Callithrix jacchus: one gene and its partners. The protein of the gene in region 3 interacts with the protein of the main gene of each other region in a pairwise test. Links are inferred from orthologs where the notes say so. Each region holds a gene or a part of one and is shown on either strand. Other genes may lie near its edges.

What was found.
Region 1: the proteins of MARCHF2 (region 3) and FURIN interact in a protein complementation assay, tested with the Homo sapiens proteins (2 studies listed by BioGRID). The link is inferred for Callithrix jacchus from reciprocal best matches to the Homo sapiens genes MARCHF2 and FURIN.
Region 2: the proteins of MARCHF2 (region 3) and FATE1 interact in binary tests that used the Homo sapiens proteins (3 or more experiments, as listed by UniProt). The two-hybrid records come from large-scale screens. The link is inferred for Callithrix jacchus from reciprocal best matches to the Homo sapiens genes MARCHF2 and FATE1.
Region 4: the proteins of MARCHF2 (region 3) and LDLRAD1 interact in binary tests that used the Homo sapiens proteins (3 or more experiments, as listed by UniProt). The two-hybrid records come from large-scale screens. The link is inferred for Callithrix jacchus from reciprocal best matches to the Homo sapiens genes MARCHF2 and LDLRAD1.

Annotation. Positions count from the first base shown.
Region 1 is NC_133507.1:19,548,551-19,551,935, reverse strand, and holds the end of FURIN (furin), read left to right. Parts: intron 1-3; coding exon 4-128; intron 129-238; coding exon 239-349; intron 350-585; coding exon 586-1,181; 3' UTR 1,182-2,662; downstream 2,663-3,385. UniProt on the Homo sapiens protein: Ubiquitous endoprotease within constitutive secretory pathways capable of cleavage at the RX(K/R)R consensus motif. Mediates processing of TGFB1, an essential step in TGF-beta-1 activation.
Region 2 is NC_133524.1:148,013,173-148,018,098, forward strand, and holds the start of FATE1 (fetal and adult testis-expressed transcript protein), read left to right. Parts: upstream 1-1,607; 5' UTR 1,608-1,689; coding exon 1,690-1,798; intron 1,799-2,793; coding exon 2,794-2,921; intron 2,922-4,926. UniProt on the Homo sapiens protein: Involved in the regulation of endoplasmic reticulum (ER)-mitochondria coupling. Negatively regulates the ER-mitochondria distance and Ca(2+) transfer from ER to mitochondria possibly implicating it in the regulation of apoptosis.
Region 3 is NC_133523.1:7,934,233-7,939,001, forward strand, and holds the start of MARCHF2 (E3 ubiquitin-protein ligase MARCHF2), read left to right. Parts: upstream 1-1,820; 5' UTR 1,821-1,947; intron 1,948-4,769. UniProt on the Homo sapiens protein: E3 ubiquitin-protein ligase that may mediate ubiquitination of TFRC and CD86, and promote their subsequent endocytosis and sorting to lysosomes via multivesicular bodies.
Region 4 is NC_133508.1:91,205,724-91,210,299, reverse strand, and holds the start of LDLRAD1 (low-density lipoprotein receptor class A domain-containing protein 1), read left to right. Parts: upstream 1-1,247; 5' UTR 1,248-1,284; coding exon 1,285-1,305; intron 1,306-1,844; coding exon 1,845-1,896; intron 1,897-4,576.

The DNA of each region.
Region 1 (3,385 bases), on a different chromosome or scaffold from region 3:
CAGGCCGCATGACTACTCCGCAGATGGGTTTAATGACTGGGCCTTCATGACAACTCACGCCTGGGATGAAGATCCCTCTGGCGAGTGGATCCTAGAGATTGAAAACACCAGTGAAGCCAACAACTATGGTACTGGGGGCACTTGAGGGGCAGGGGTACGAGGAGGGCTGGCAGGACCTGGGGCGCTGGGCATGGTGCCAGCACTATCCCACTTTTGCCTACTTCCCTCTCTGGAATAGGGACGTTGACCAAGTTCACCCTCGTGCTCTATGGCACAGCTCCTGAGGGGCTGCCTGTACCTCCTGAAAGCAGCGGCTGCAAGACCCTCACATCCAGCCAGGCCTGTGTGGGTCAGTAGTGGGTACTGTTGGGCTTTGGGGGCCTGAGTCTAGGGGGAAGGCGGGTGCTTGTCCTGAATCCCAGCTTTAAGAGAAAAAGGTCTCAAGAGACCTGGGGTGCTTGGGATAACCACAGTCCTGGGGCTGGGGAAGCCTGGGGGTGTGGTGAGTTGCCCTGGGGCAGCTGTGGCCCTATGGCTACAGTCTCTGTAGCTGACACACACTCACCCTCTCTCCTACGCCGACAGTGTGTGAGGAAGGCTTCTCCCTGCACCAGAAGAGCTGCGTGCAGCACTGCCCTCCAGGTTTTGCCCCCCAAGTTCTGGATACACACTATAGCACCGAGAATGATGTGGAGACCATCCGGGCCAGCATCTGCGCCCCCTGCCATGCCTCATGTGCCACATGCCAGGGACCGGCCCCCACAGACTGCCTCAGCTGCCCCAGCCACGCCTCTTTGGACCCTGTGGAGCAAACTTGCTCCCGGCAAAGCCAGAGCAGCCGAGAGTCCCCGCCAGAGCAGCAGCCACCACCCCGGCTGCCCCCAGAGGTGGAGGAGGAGCCGCGGCTGCGGGCAGGCCTGCTGCCCTCTCACCTGCCTGAGGTGGTGGCCGGCCTCAGCTGCGCCTTCATCGTGCTGGTCTTCGTCACTGTCTTCCTGGTCCTGCAGCTGCGCTCTGGCTTTAGCTTCCGGGGGGTGAAGGTGTACACCATGGACCGTGGCCTCATCTCCTATAAGGGGCTGCCCCCTGAAGCCTGGCAGGAGGAGTGTCCATCCGACTCAGAAGAGGATGAGGGCCGGGGCGAGAGGACCGCCTTTATCAAAGACCAGAGCGCCCTCTGATGAGCCCACTGCCCACCCCCTCAAGCCAATCCCCTCCTTGGGCACTTTTTAATTCACCAAAGTATTTTTTTATCTTGGGACTGGGTTTGGACCCCAGCTGGGAGGCAAGAGGGGTGGAGACTGCTTCCCATCCTACCCTCAGTGCCCCCTCCATGTGGAGAAAGGAGTGAAACCTTCAGGGCAGCCAGCCCCGGCCACAGCCAGAGTTCCTGCGGAGTGAAGATGGGCAGCCCTTGCTTGTTGGGATTCCTGACCCAGGCCACCGCTCTTGCCCTTCCCTGTCCCTCTAAAGCAATAATGGTCCCCATCCAGGCAGTTGGGAGGCTGGCCTGGGAGGCATTTGTGGGAGGAGGCCACCTCTCCAAGGGCTTTCGCATCCTCCACCCTGTCCCCTAGCTCTAGTGAGTCTTGGCGGCAGCAGCCATCATAGGAAGGGACCAAGGCAAGGCAGGTGCCTCTGGGTGTGCACGTGGCCAGTGTCCCCTGGCCCACCTTGTGCTCCATGTCTCCACAACCACTGGCTGCCAGGTTGGCACAGCTAAGGCGGAAGCTGTCAGAACCCTGTGCTGGTGTCCTCGCCACCCTCCCTTCTCTTGCACCCGCCTCTCTGGTTGGGGCCCAAGTCCCTGTTTTCTGAGCCCGGGCTGCCTGAGCTGTTGGCACTCACAGACCTGGAGCCCCTGGGTGGGTGGTGGGGAGGGGCGGTGGCCCAGCCAGCCTCTCTGGCCTCCCACCCGATGCTGCTTTCCCCTGTGGGGATCTCAGGGGCTGTTTGAGGATATATTTTCACTTTGTGATGATTTCACTTTAGATGCTGATGATTTGTTTTGTATTTTTAATGGGGGTAGCAGCTGGACTACCCACCTTCTCACACCCACCGTCCACCATGCTCCTCCTTGGCTGCCCTGGCCCTGAGCTGTGGGGGCTGCAGCATGTTCTGAGGAGTGAGGAAAAGTTGAGCCCCAAGTCCTGAAGAGGCAGGCCAGCCAGGTGGGCTGGAGGAAAGGGGGTCCCCTGGTGGGAGGGCAGGCTAACATCTGTTTTCAAGTGGGGCTCGCCAAGCCAAGGGCCCAGAGGTCACTGGCTCTCCAAGTGCCAGGGGTGGGCAGGTGGTGACACTCAGCCCCCTCAACACTGTGCCCTGGTGGAGAAAGCACTGACCTGGCAAGCCCCCCAAAACCCCTCTTCTGACGTGCCTTTTGCACCCCTCCCATTAGGACAATCAGTCCCCTCCAACCTGGGAGCCCCCTTTTCTTTCCCCTAGCCATTCCTGGTACCCAGCCACCTGCCCAGGGGTGCCCCCTCCTCCCATCCCCCCACCCTCTTGGCCAGCCCGGCTGGTTTTGTAAGACACTGGGTTGGTGCACAGTGATTTTTTTCTTGTAATTTAAACAGGCCCAGCATTGTTGGTTCTATTTAATGGACACGAGATAATGTTAGAGGTTTTAAAGTGATTAAACGTGCAGACTATGCAAACCAGGGCCAGTCTCCAGTGTGGTACCATTGCCCCTTCATGGCGGCTGGGGGCCAGTTAGGCCTTCGCAGTGGCCAGCCTGCCTGGATGTGGGCTTGAGTCAGACGGCCAAAGTCCTCCAAGGGGTTGGAGGTTGTACCAGCCCTAGTGGAAGGAGGCAGCCCCCTGGGGTGGGGCCGGTGACCCCTGAACCTTAGGAGCTGAGCAGAGAGCACTTCCAAAGGACTTGTCTCCAGCAGTGTGAAGAGCAACTGGGCATATTGTGCCTTCCTGGGCTGAAGTGACCTGGCTGCCAGGGCTATGGGGCTGAGGCCTAAAGCGGGGGCCTAGCTGAACCAAGACTACTTGCTAGGGGAAGCCAGAGTCCCACATGGAAAACTCTGCACCTCTCCACCCACCAGCCCCTGCCCTCTGAATGCCCTAGGCCTCCCTTAGGACAGGAAGCCCCTGCCTGGGGGTAGGAGGATGGAGTCGGAGCCACCAGGGCCTGTCCCTGAGAAGCAGCCTCTGTTCGGGATATTTACTTGGAAATTTTATTCAAATAGAAGCTGGCGCCTGAGCCTCTCCTTAGGGAATACCATGAGGTGGGGAGAGCTGGCCCAGGGTTCCCTGGTCCTCTCCTGCGGTGGCCCAGGCCTGGTGCTAGGACTGCGCGCCTCCCCTCAGCCACCGACACCCCCGGCTTCCCTGGGTCCAGCATCTGCCTGGGGCCTTGCCCTGCAACGCCGCC
Region 2 (4,926 bases), on a different chromosome or scaffold from region 3:
ACTAAAAATGATGTGCTTTTTACCTGAAATTTAAATGTACTTTGTACCTGTACTTTCATTTGCTCAATATGGCAAACGTGACTGGGCTTCCCAGGCTCCTAAATCCCACTGAACTGAGCACCCTCCACAGTTTCTCTGCTTCCAAGGTGGCCCTCCAGAAAGCTCAAATTTCATTGCAGCTGCTCCACTGGAGCTGAGAAGGGCTTCTTTGGGGCCCCCAGGAATGCAGGCAGGGACTACATCAGCTCTGCTTCCCAAGAGCTCGGCCCCAGCACTGGACAGGTGAGATGGGGGCAGGGGGCAGTCAGTCTCAGACCAAGCAGCCCTATCTCAGCTAGTCCTGGCCCCTTCTTCTCTGTTTCCCTCCCTCCCTCCCTTTCTACCTATCTCCCTTCCTCCCTTCCTCCCTCCCTCTTTTCCTCCTTTCTTCCACCTCTTCCTCCCACTTGGCCCAGGGACTCTGGGGGAAGAGGAGGCTATTTGGAAAAGGAACCAGGACAGGTTTATAAAGGATTCCTTTTACAAATAGCCTCCTATTACCCCAGGGGCTCTGGGGTTGTTTCCTAAATGAAGGGTTCAGCATTGGTGGTTGTAGCAATCAGGGTTTTCAGAGAAACAGAGCTGATAGGATATATGTATGTATGTATGTATGTATGTATGTATGTATGTATGTATCTACATATGCACAAATATAGAGAAATTTATTTTAAGAAATTGGCTTATGTGACTGTGGGCCTCACAAGTCTGAAATGTACAGGACAGGCCGGCAGGCAGGAGACTCAGGCAAGAGTTGACCCTGCAGTCTTGGGGTTGAAATGCCTCTTCTCTGGAAACCTCAGTCTTTGCTCTTCAGGCCTCTCAGTTGATTGCGTGAGACCCACCCACATCATCGAGGATGAGTCTCTACTTTATTTCAAGTCCACTGGTTGTAGATGCCAATCACAGCTACAAATTGCCTCATCAGCAACACCTACACGGTGTTTGATGGAATCACCAGGGGCAAGTGCCTGGCCCAGGTGACTCATAAACCTGACCATCACAGTGGTCTAGTCAGTAGGTAAGCTGAGGGAGAATTGGAACTTAGAAGGTGCAGGGCCTGAGGCCCTTGGGGTTCTAGTGGCTGCAGTCAGGTCACACCTCTTTCACCCTTCCCTCCTTTGGTTCTCATGGCTCCTGCCTAGGCTGACCGACTTCAGAAAAAGGCTGCCTCCTGTGTTTGGGGACTCTGGATATGGGAGGTAGGATATGCTCTCCAGAGAATCCCTTTTGAAGGCATGGTATGGCCTGGATTGCTAGGACCTAACTCTGCTGTGGCCACTGTGTGGCTCTTGGACCCTGTGCCAATCCTTGCATCTGCCTAGAAATGATGATGGGATCCCCCATGAGCTAAATCTGGAGATCCATGAGCCAGAGCAGTTCTCACAGGCAAAAGCTTGGAGTTGTATCTCTTCTAAGCTGCTTACAGAGTTGCAGGGGAGAACGCCATGGACCCAACCAATTAGATACAATGGGAACAGAAGGTACTCAGTCCAAGGCCTCAGCCTAGAGAGGGAGTGTCACTCCACCCCCAGGTCCTACTATATCTTCCTTGAGCTCCTGTCCCTGGAAGAGGCGATTTTCTGAGTGTGACTCCTCTGTTTCTGGCACCCTGCACATTTTTAGCCATTGCTTACAAGTGAACAGCTGGTTATGATGGCAGGAGGCCCTATCAGCACCAGGGAGGAGGTAGAAATATCCCTGGCTGAAGAACTGAATCATGGAAGCCAAGGGCAAAACCAAGAGCACCTGGGGATAGCAGGTGAGGATCCTCTAAAATACCACTTGGCTATAGCCAACTCTGTAGATACGTGTCTATACCTGTGCATGTGTGTGTTGGAAAAGGTGCATGTGTGCAAGGAAGTGTTTGCACATGTGTGTGTTGGGGAGCTTCGAGGATTTGTGGGTTGATGATAAGGGAGGTAGGGAAAAGGGAGCATTTTTCCTACTGTCTCCCACTTGTCCAAGCCACCACCATGTCTGTTGCAAAATACTCAGAGAGCTCAAATTACAAGATCAGAGATCAATTCTCTCTCCCAATGCTCTAATTCATTTCCCTGCCCTTCAGAGGAAAGTCCAAACTCCACAGTCTATAAGATAGTATCAGCCTCCTCAAAACATTTCATGCTATGATATAGACAGAAAATATCATTTCTATAGCTCACAAAAGGGCCAAGATCACACTGCATTTATGTTTGTTATTACAATGCTGCAAGCGTGCTTATTCCCCAAAGACCTTGCATTTGCTGTTTCTTCTGTCTGGAATGTGCTTTCCCTCAATTTCCCAGGGCTGGGTCCTTTATTTCTTTCAGGTCCCTGCTTCAGTTTTTGTCTCCTACTTTTTAGAGGGAGCCCTTTCCTTCTACTATGTTACCATGTTTTGATCGTTTATGGAGCCTGTGTCTCTCTGTCTGCATTTGCGAGGATAGATTACTTTCTGCTGTACACCTGTCATTCCCCCTTATACACAAACAGATGGTCAGTTCTTTGAGAGCTGGAATCTTGTTCTTGATCATTGCTTTCTAAGTGAATAGAGAGTAACCTAGTCTCGAGCTCAGCCATCAGGAAATGCTTGATTAACTTTTGAACAAATGAACAAACTGAGGCCTGGGATCAGCTGGTGGATAGTGTTGAACGGGTGTTGAGTGATTCCCGAGAAGGCTGTGGCCTCTGCCTTCTTTTATGCTGTGTTTCGTGTCCAAAAAGCCCTGGTATAACTTCTGTGGGTGCTCCTGAGGCCTCTGTTCTTCTCTCTAGAAGTGATGGATCATAGATCTCGGTCCCTCAGTGTCCCCCAGAAGAGGCAGAAGGTGGAATCAAAAGCTGCAGGCTCTGCTGAAGCCAAACCAGTTTGGAATATGACTGCCACCCGGCCCAAGAAAATGGTACTGTATGGGGTCCTCAGCATAAGGTGGCCAGGTTGGGATTGGGAGTACTGTTTGTAGGGGCTCTTGCCTCACCAGGTCAGTCAGGGCTAGACATTGACTTGGGAGGAAGAGAAAGCTCCTGTGTTCCGAGCTGGCAAATGAGGAAAGGAAGGTCCAGTTAAAGGTCACGGTCATCCTTTCCTATACTAGAGGTTCAACCTTGGGAGTTCGGAATTCTTGAAACAAATATTGCTTAGGGAGTAAATAAATACTTTACTTTGTAAATCTATTGCGTGAAATAATGCTTTCCTGTATTTAAAATTATGTGTGTGGTACACGTGTGTGTATACACACAATAAGTCAGGTGAGGCTCCTATCCTTTCTGGCTGTTAAGAAATCCAGTCAAGTGGCCTGGCATGGTGACTCATGCCTGTAATCCCAGCACTCTGAGAGGAGGAGATGGGCAGATCACTTGAGGCCAGGAGTTCGAGACCAGTCTGGCCAGTATGGTGAAACCCCCATCTCTATTAAAAATAAAAAAATTAGCTGGGCATGGTGGCACATGCCTGTAATCCCAGCTACTCAGGAGGCTGAGGCATGAGAATCGCTTGAACTCAGGAGGCAGAGGTTGCAATGAGCCAAAATCATGCTACTGCACTCCAGCCTGGGCAACAGAGAGAGACTCTGTAAAAAGAAAGAAGGGGGTGGGGGAGAGAGAGAGAGAGAGAAGAAGCAAGGAAGAAAGGAAGAAATCCAGTGAAGTGAATCTGACAATTTTGTAGCCAATGCTTTTAAGCTACATTCAATATGGGTGAAGAAATATTCTAGAACAAATAGTGGCTATACTGCTGCAAATGATATTGAGAAAAACAGTCATTTTGGAGGGAGAGGGAATTCTGACTCTTCTGGAGAATTAGGTGAGTTCCACAGTTCTGTAGCCAATCCTTTTAGCTAGCTACATTCACTGTGGGTAAGGGAAAGTTTTAGAAAAATTGATATGCTGTTGCAAAGGCTGCTGGGAAAAGGCAACAGGATTGGAGAGGGAGGGAGGACTGACTGCTCCAGGAAATAATGTGAGTCCCACGGTTCTGTGGCCAATTCTTTAAGCTACATTCACTGTGGATGTTGAATGTTCTAGAAAGATGCTGGCCACATTGTCGCAAAGGATACTGAAAAAGGCATTTATTTTGGAGAGAAGGGAGACCTGACTGCTTTAGGGAATCACAAATCCCATCTTTCTGTAGCCAATGCTTTTCACCACATTCAGGTTGGTGAGGAAAAATTAATAAAATTTTAGAAAATGGTGGTTTTTACTGTTACCACAGAAAAGTTTGGAAGTTACTGGGAAAGGGAGGGAGACTTGATTGCTGAAATGATTTGTTGGATGGCCCCAGGGAAGATTGAGAAAAAAGGCTTCCAGGTTTAAAGATTTCCTGGGAATAAAAATAGGTCAGATGTTGATCTGGCTTCCTGTGTCCAAAGACAGAAGCCAAATCAAGCTGCCCAGGAGGTCAGGCTCCGAGACTAGGGAGAATATCACCTCTGGTTTAATTAAAGCTGGTTATGAGGGCTAGAGGCAGACTGCCTGAAAATATACCCTTATACTGAATTTAGAAATTCAATTTAGAAATTTAGAATTAGGAAATCTAATTTATTTATTTATTTATTCCTTTATTTTTGAATAAAACAGCTGATGGAACTGCCTCTACGAGAACCATAATATGCAAAGGCGAGAAAAGTTAAAAATGCTTTCCTGATGACTCGGAAAAAGTAGTGTGCCTTTAAAGTTACATGGAAGTAAAAGTAACATTTTTGGAAATGATTAACAGAGAGAAACAAACAAACAAAATCCAGCCATTTCTATTTTTATTTTTTGCCTTCGAATCTCTCAAATATATTTTTTTATCCTTCTGATTCCAATTTATAGGAAAGTCAAGCGATTATAGTCATGGGGTCTCCCTAATACCCATTATATTTTTTCATGCTATTTTTGAAATATCTTAAGAAAATGAAATATTGTGAT
Region 3 (4,769 bases):
ACACAATGTCACTTCTGTGTTTCCTGCCACAGATGAAAAATCATGAGTAAGTATTAGACAAATACTAATGGGAGGGCTTTCTGAAAAATTACTAGCCTGGAATTTCTGAAAAATATGGATGTCATGGAGAGAAAGTAAGATTGATAAAATGTTCCAGAAAGAGTCATAACAGCAAAATACAACACTGAATCTTGGGATGAATTTGGGATTCTTTTTTAAGGAAAGGAAGGAGAGGGGAGAGGAGGAGACTTCTTTTTTTTGACACAGGATCTTGCTCTGTTGCTCAGGCTGGAATGCAGTGGTGAGGTCATGGGTCACTGCAGCCTAGAACTCCTGGGCTCAAATGGTCCTCACACCTCAGCCTCCCAAGTAGCTAGGACCACTGGAGCATGCCACCACACCTGGCTAATATTTTTATTTTACTTTGTAGAGATGGGGTTTCACTATGTTGCCCAGGCTGATCTCACATTCCTGGACCCCAGAGACCTTCCTGCCTTGGGCTCCCAATGAGCTGGGATTACAGACATGAGTCACTGTGCCTGGTCTGGATTTTAGATTTTTAAAGGACTTTATTGAAAACTTTTTTTTTTTTTTTTTTTTTGAGATGGAGCCTGGGCTCTGTTGCCCAGGCTAGCGTGCAATGGCAAGATCTCTGCTCACTGCAACCTCGGCCTCGCAGGTTCAAGTGATTCTCCTGCCTTGGCCTTATGAGTAGCTGGAATTACAGGTGCTCGCCACCAAACCCAGCTAATTTTTTTTTCGTTTTTTTAGTAGAGACGGTTTCTCCATGTTGGCCAGGCTGGTCTCAAACCCCTAACCTCAAGTGATCCAAATGCTGAGATTACAGGCATGAGTCACTATGCCCAGCCTTTGAATGGGTTCTGGGAATTACATCATAATATTAGATGAACATTAATTTTCTGATTTTGAATGTTATACTGTGATTATGTGCAAAAGTGTGCTTATACTTAGAAAATATATAGTGCAGTCTTTTTTAGAAAAATCGATATGTCTTAGAGATGTGGGGAGGTGAGTTTGCTATGTTGCCGAGGCTGGCCTTGAACTCCTGGGCTCAGGTGATCCTCTTGCCTCAGCCTCCTGAGCAGCTGGGACTACAGTCCCGCGCCACCATGGTTGGCTAACTTACTGGTAAATTTTTGGATTTTGAGACAGTCTTACTCTGTTGTCTAGGCTGGAGTGCAGTGGCACGATCTCGGCTTGCTGCAACCTCTGCCACCTGGGTTCAAGCGATTCTCCTGCTTCAGCCTCCCGAGTAGCTGGAATTACAGGCGCCTGCCACCGCATTGGCTAATTTTTGTATTTTTAGTAGAGACGGGATTTCACCATGTTGGCCAGGCTGGTCTTGAACCCCTGACCTCAGGCCATCCGCCCACCACTTTTAAATTGTTTGTAGAGACGGGATCTCAAATTAATCTCACTATGTTGTCCAAACTGGTCCCCATCTTCTGGGCTCCAGTGATCCGTCTCGGCCTCCCAGAGTGCTGGGATTACTGCGCCCGGCCAGTCTAAAAAAAAAAGTTGAATTCTGCTGCGGGTTTATTGATTAGAGAACGCCGGCGGTCTGCAGGTGGCGCAGCAGCACCCCTGGCGCCTGGGGCGGGGAGGGGGCGGGGCCAGTGCTGTGGGCGGAGCCAAGACGCGGCAGGGGCGGGGCCCGCAGCAGCGGCGCAGCTGGGCCTCTGCGGCCCAGGGCGTCCCCCGTCGCCTCCGGCCCCGCCTCTCGGGGCGGGACGTGCATGGCGATTGGCAAGTGCGGGCGAAAGGCGGTCGCTATTGGCCCGCGGAGCTGTCGGCTCGGCGGGCGGTGCCCGGACGCAGGTGCCGGCCGGAGCGGACCTAGTGGCGCCGACGTGCCGGGCCGGGCCGGGACCCGGGCCGGGGCAAACGGAGGGGCCTGTGTGGCCGCCCGGCCCGGCCGCGGATCAGGTAGGCACGGGCCTGCAGGTAGGGCCGGAGGACGCCAGTCCGCGCGCCGGCCCCGGGTTCGAGGCCGGAGCTCGGTACCCGGGAGGGACGGCTGGGCTGGATCCCTTGGCCACAGCTTTCTTGGGGACGCGGGGACCCCAGTTCCCTTGTCAAAGCCGGTGGAAGGTCCCCGGGGTCCGGCACACAGTAGGCGCCTCTTCGAGCCTTGGTTTCCCCACCTGTAAAACCGGGTCATCCCATTATCAACCTCATAGGGCTTCTGGGAGGATTCAGAAGGTTGGCTGGTGCAGAGAGCGCTTGGCACACAGTAGGCAACTACCAAGTGGCCAATGCCCTTCCCCAACCTTCTTCTCAGAGTGGCTCTGCCTACAAAATAGTAAGTTAGAATATAATGAGCCAGCCACTTTGCACAAAGATCTTCAAACAGGATGCCCTGTGCTGTGTCGGTGCTCAAAACAGGGTAGTCAGAATGGGTATGATGAGCTCATTCAGTTCTTTTGAAACCATACTGACTAGGTGGAAGCACTAGAAATGTCCCCTCTAATACAGGTGAGAGAGTCCAGGCTCAGAGAGGTTAAGTGTCTTGCCTAGGGCCACACAGCACATAAGGAGTAGAGCTGGGATTGGAACCTCCCTTCTCATGCAGGCCTAAAAGAACTGAAGGATGCACAAGAGCCTCTCTATGGTGAGGGAATAGAAATGAATGCAATGACAGCCTCCACATTTACCCTAAAAAATATTAATAGTGAGCTTTTATTGAGCACTTACTGATTGTGTGACCTCTCATCAACAGCTCTGTAAACTGATCATAGTTGTTAGAATAAAAGCTAATATTGGCCGGGCGAGGTGGCTCACACTTCTAATTCCAGCACTTTGGGAGACCAAGGTGGGCAGATCACAAGATCAGGAGTTCAAGACCAGCCTGACCAACATGGCGAAACCCCGTCTCTACTAAAACAAAAATTAGCCAGGTGCAGTGGTGCAGCCCTGTAATCCCAGCTACTCAGGAGGCTGAGGCAGGAGAATCACTTAATACTGGGAGGCGGAGATTGCAGTGAGACGAGATCACGCCACTGCACTCCAGCCTTGTGAACAGAGCAGGACTCCATTTAAAAGAAAAAATAAAGAGCTAGTATTATGAACTACATATCATTATGATGCCCCCTCTTTTTAAAAAAGTTTTTGGAACAGAGTCTTACTTTGTCACCCAGGCTGGAGTGCAGTGGTGCAATCTTGGCTCACTGCAACCTTCACCTCCCAAGTTCAAGCGATTCTCCTGTTTCAGCCTCCCAATTGGCGGGGATTTCAGGCAGGCACCACCATGCCCAGCAAATGTTTGTATTTTTAGTAGAGACGGGGTTTTGACATATTGGCCAGGCTGGTCTTGAACTCCTGATGTCAAGTGATTCACTTGCCTCAGCCTCCCAAAGTGCTGGGATTACAGGCATGAGCCACTGCACCCAGCCTCCTTCCTCCTGTTTTTTTTTTTTTTTTTTTTTTTTAGATGGAACCTCTCTGTTGCCCAGGCAGTGGCACGATTACAGCTCACTGCAACATCTGCCTCCCAGGTTCCAGCGATTCTCCCGCCTTAGCCTCCCAAGTAGCTGAGATTACAGGCGCCTACCATCATGCCCAGCTAATTTTTGTCTTTTTAGCCAAGACAGGGTTTCATCATGTTGGCCAGGCTGGTCTCAAACTCCTGGCCTCAAATGATCCACCTTCGACGAGCTCCCAAACCTGCTGGGATTACAGCTGTGAGCCACTGCACCCAGCCTATAACGCCCATTTTATAGATGAGAATACTGCGGCTGAGAGAGTAAAACAGCTGTCTGAGATCACACTGCAGGAAGTTTTAGGGCCCTCTGTTTCCTACCTTCAGGAAAAGGAGGCTGGGCAGGTATGAAAAAGACTGGGGTGGGGGCCTCAGTGTCACCCCAAACAAGCCTAGCCAAGGATGAATTACTTGATGAATTCAGCCTGGAGGCTTCTTCTCAGTAGACCCCTCCACAAACACAGTCCACTAGCTCCATCATTAGAATGAGGCCCAGAGAAGCAAAGTGACTTGAACCAGGATACCCAGCATCGGTGGCAGAGCCAGGAGAGCCAGGAGTTAAAGAATCAAGGTCTCTTGAGGTCCAGACCCACTCCCTGGAGTGTTTTAAGTTTGAATTCTGATACCACCCATTCCTAGCTGTCTGATTGTGGGGAAATAGGTGCCTCTCTCTGAGCCTCAGCCTCTCCCCACATTATAGGGTATAATTATTGGTTTGTTGTGAAGACTCAATGCGATCTATCTCCAGGCTGGGAGTGGTGGCTCATGCCTGTAATCCCAATATTTTGTGAGGCTGAGGCCGGCAGATCACTGGAACCCAGGAGTTCAGGACCAGCCTGGGCAAAACATGGCAAAACACCATCTCTATAAAAATTAGCAGGGCTTGGTGGTGTGCAGAGCTACTTAGGAAGCTGAGGTGGTAGGATCACCTGAACTGGGGTGGTAGAGCTGTGATTGCTCCACTGCCCTCCAGCCTTGTGGGTGACAGAGTGAGACCCCGCCTCAAAAACAAAAAAACAGACGAAAGAAAAGAAATAGGCCAGGCACACAGTGATTCAAGCCTATAACCTCAGCACTTTGGAAGGCCGAGGCAGGTGGGGTCAGGAGTTTGAGGCCAGCCTGGCCAGCATGGTGAAACCCTGTCTCTACTAAAAATACAAAAAATTAGCTGGGCGTAGTGGTGGGCACCTGTAATCCCAGCTACTCTGGAGGCTGAGACAGAAGAATCGCTTGAAGCTGAGGAGCTGAGATCGTGCCATTGCACTCTACC
Region 4 (4,576 bases), on a different chromosome or scaffold from region 3:
TTCCCCGAGGGCCCCAACAGGGCTGAACTCCACTTGCCCACAGCAGGAACCTGCGTTTAAGGATCCTTCTCTTTCCAGTCTCATTTCCCTCATTCCCCGACCACTGTTTCCTGGGATCACTCCCAGTTAAATCTACTTGCCCTCGAATATTGTCTTAGAGTCTGATTCTGGGGAATCCTAAACTAAAACACCCCCTTCATCTGGTTTATATCTTCATTTTATGGATGAAGGATCGGAGGCACAGGAAGGGGAGTGAATTGCCCAAGTCAGAGCCAGTGGTAGGGCCCTACTGAGAGCCCCGTTCTCCTGGTCTAGGTGTCAGCTCTGCGCAGTGTTACTTGCTGCCTCCCAAGGGCTGCCCCTGCACCTGCCCCTCCTACTTGCACCCACATGGATTCAGCATTTTATTTCCCAAAGCAAAAGAAAAGGCTGATTGCAGGTTGGAAAATCTATGGGCGTCAGAGGCAGGTGAAAGGGGATCCTCCCTAGAACTCTTGAGCTCATTTCTGGAGGTAGCCATCTCTCCTTTCTTGGTCTGGGTCATTGGACTTGGCCCTCAAGCTTCCAGGTTTACTCAGCAGTGGGACAGGCTGCTAGGGAAACCCACTCACTGGGAGCGTAGAAGGGGTTATTCAGGCAAGCAACCAGCCCCCCTCCTCTTCCCTACTTCGGGTGCCACCTCAGGGACAGTAAAAATTCACATTGCCACACTTCTAAAGAAAATAATTTAAAGTTATATTTGCTTTATACTTTTAGCGGAAAGTGCATATTCTTTCAATCTGGATTACCTGTGTTGTTTAACAGAAAGAACAGCAATGAGAAAATGACCCCTGCTTTCTAGCCACTGAAATGTTAATTCCGGGAGTTTCTACCTGCATCTTCATCCCCCTGGAACCAGAGCTCCTCCGGTTCTCTCGCTGATGCGGAGGAAAAAGCACTCTTGAAAAGTTTCTGGGTTTCACCCCTCCCACCTACTGTGCGACCTGGGGCAGTTTCTCCCTTTCTGAACCTCTGGCTCTTCATCTGTGGATGGGGATGAGGATTCCAGCCTCGCAGTGTTGCTGTCAGACGGCAGAGAAGGAAACAGCCTGGCCAGAGCAGGGCCCTCTTGCCCTTGCCTCTGCTTGGAAGGCAGCTGGGAGGGAGGGGGCTGCCCACAGGGAGGGTGTGGCCCAGGCAAAGCTCCTGCCTGTCCCTCCTCCAGGCTGCCCCTGGTGACAAGGCAGGGAACCCATGCTGAGCTCTCTGCACACAGCCCCAGTCAGGGAGCTGAAAGCCGAAGACATGAACAAGGTCTTCCCCGAGGTAAGGGCTGCCTGGACCAGGCTCCTGATCTTGGGAGAGCAAACCTTGGGATGAGGAGTGTGGGCAGTAGAGAGTGGGCATACATGGGAGACATGGAGGAAAATCAGCCCCCGTCCTGGCCCGGGGCTCACTCCCAGGGTGTAGGGGGCCCTACCAGTGACCCAGCTGTAGAGTCCAGGTGGCAAGTGCTGGGACGGACACAGAGGAGCCGGGTGGACAGGAAGGGAGAGCGTTAGCTTTACTGGGTATCAGGGAAAGCTTCACCGAGGAGTCGCTGCCCACGCCAGTTTGAAGGATGAATATTTGCCAGGTGGACAGCAGAGGAAAAGGCGCCCCAGACAGAGGGCCCAGTGCAGGCAAAGGTGTGGAAATGGGAAGCCGGCATGAGGCATCTGGGGCGTTGAGCGTGCTGGGGTGTGAGGGAGCCACGGTGCCACCGAAGACTCTCGGTGACCCCTTCTGAAAGCCCTGCTGTCTGCCTCCCTGAGGCTGGACCTCACCTCACCTAAGCCCACCCCTCACTCTGTTCTCTTGGGCAGGGAGAGAATGGCCGCATTGCTGCTGGACCCAAGGCCCTCCCTGGAGGGGAAGGTAAAGAACTGAAGGGCCCAGGGCCAGTGCCCTGTGGGGCTCCCTTGAAGCTGGCAGTTGGCTATAGAGGCATGAGGAAGGTTGGAGGATTCCAGGCTCCCGCTGCCCCTCAGACCTCTGCCCCATGTTAATGTTGTCTGCTCCCAGCTTCCTGGTCAGATGCTGACAGTCACTTGCTTAATAGGGTTATTCATTCTCTCCATGCACACATATTTATTAAGCACCTACTGTGTGCTGCCGACCTCACAGGCACCAAACTGCATTCAGTGCCCACCTGTAATACAGCATCAAACTGACTCAGTGGGTGACCTGGACAATTCTCTTTACCTCTGAGACACATTTATTTAGCCCTACTATGTGCCGCTGGCCCACAGTGTGACCAGAACAGTTCTCTTTACCCTTCTGAAGATAGAAGGAAGAAACAGACATGTATTGAGCATTGTATATGCCCTGGCGTGGCCCACATTTGATCAATGAGGAGACACACCCAGAGAGGTAGATGAAAATACCAACTATAAAGGACCCAGTACAGTTATGTGCCTGGCACTGCATGGCCCCTTTAATCCCCAGGACAGCTCTGAGACAGGGGCTCTGTCATGGGGCAATCACAGATAAGGCAGCTGAAACTAAGAGAAGTTGGGTAACCAGGCCAAGGTCATACAGCGGGGAGGCCGGAGGGCCAGGGTTCAAATGTGAACTGAGGTCTCTCTGGTTACAAAGCCCCAGGGCTTTTGTTGCCGCATACCGGTGTTTGTTTTTTTCCAAGTCCTGACTCATGACGGGTGTGGTTGTGGCAAGAATAGCCTCCTTTTCCTCATCTGTGCAGGGAAGGGACTGGCACCTAAGGGCTTTCTGGCTTTGAAGCGCAACAGCTTCACCTGGGCAGGAGCCTTGGTTCTGCCGGTTCTCCCGTGGCAACATCTTGCACGTGGTCTGTGCTGCACAAATATTTGAGGAGCTGCTTGGCTGACCAGCACACCTCTCCCTGCCCAGAGTCACGCTGCCTCCCTGGTTACCTGAGTTTACCCTGTTTGCTGACGGCCACAGAGCCACCAGCTAGGGCTGTAGGGATGACGGGGTTTTAGATTCCTGCTGCCTTGAATACCATCGTATCCCTCCCAGCGCACATCCATCCTGGAGCCCCGCCACGCCAGGCCACTTGTGCTCCCCCACCTGCAACCACCAGACCTTTCCACTTGCCACGCCCTCTGCCTGGAAGCCCCTTTCTTTGCACCATTCCCTTACCTGCCTGTGGAAATCCCACCCGGCTTCTGAGGACCCTGCATCAGAAATGTGAATGGATTGAAAATAACTGACCCATAGTGGGGGCCTTCCCTTGTCTCCTGGACCCCTGGGCTAGCATATTCACAGAGTGTTCACAAATCTCTGGGCCTGGCACGGTGGCTCACACCGGTAATCCCAGCACTTTGGGAGGCCAAGGTAGGTGACCACCTGAGGTCAGGAGTTGGAGACCAGCCTAGCCAACAGGGTGAAACCCCATCTCTACTGAAAATACAAAACTTGGCCAGATGTGGTGGCAGCCACCTGTTATCCCAGCTACTTGGGGGGCTGAGGCAAGAGAATCTCCTGAACCTGGGAGGCAGAGGTTGCAGTGAGCCGAGATCATGCCACCGCATTTCAGCCTGAGCAATAGAACGAGACTCCATCTCAAAAAAAAAGAACCCCCCCGCAAAAAAAAAGCTCCCACCATGTGCCTGGCTCTGGGCTGGGTCCTGGGGTCACAGGGTGAATCATACCTGCCCCTGCCCCTTTCTCTGAGGTACCTGTGGCCTGGGCAGGTCAGTAGCTCCCACGCTCCTTCAGACATGTCCATGCTTTGCCTTCTAAGTGCAATAACAAGCTGCAGAGGGCAAGGACCAGAGCTGGAGCCACACAGCGGGGCACCAGGAGGTCCTTAGTAAAGGCTTCTGTTATTATTTTGTAAGCAGGAGAGAATTAAAGTACAGTTTTACAAGAGCAGGGACATCCCCTATCACTGTGATTTCCAGTGCTTAGAATAAAGCTTGGCACGTGGCAAGTCCTCAACAAGCAATAACAGCCCAGACACAGCAGTGCGCAGCTGTTACAGGACTTTGGGAGGCCGAGGCAGGAGGACTGTTTGAGCCCAGGACTTAGAGTGTGCAGTGAACTATGATTGCACCACTGCATTCCAGCCTGGGCAACAGAGCCGGACCCTATCTCTAAAATTAAAAAAAAATTTTTTTAAGCAATAATAATAGCTCATATTCATCATTTACTATGTGCCAAGCACTGTTCTAACACATTAACTCAACAAATTCTAATCCTTTCAGCAAACTTTAAGGTAGCTATTACGGTCCCCATTTCCCACATGAAGCAACTGAAGTGCAGAGAAGTGAAGTGACTTACTCAGTGTGGCTCAGGTAGGAACTGGTGGAACTGGGATTCCAACCTGCATCCCAGCAGACTCCAGAACGGACAGTCAGTGGGGATTGTGGAAAGGGCATGCGTTGTGGCATCACACAGGTGTGGATTCACATGCCAGCTCCACCCTGGGTTACCTGAACCTTTTCTTTTCTGAGCCCCAGTTTCCTCATAGATCAAATAAAAGGTTGTTTTGAAAAATAAAGACCACAGTTATGAAGGGCCTGATGGAGCGTCTGCCCCGTGGTGGGGGCTGGACATGCAGGCGTCCATCTCT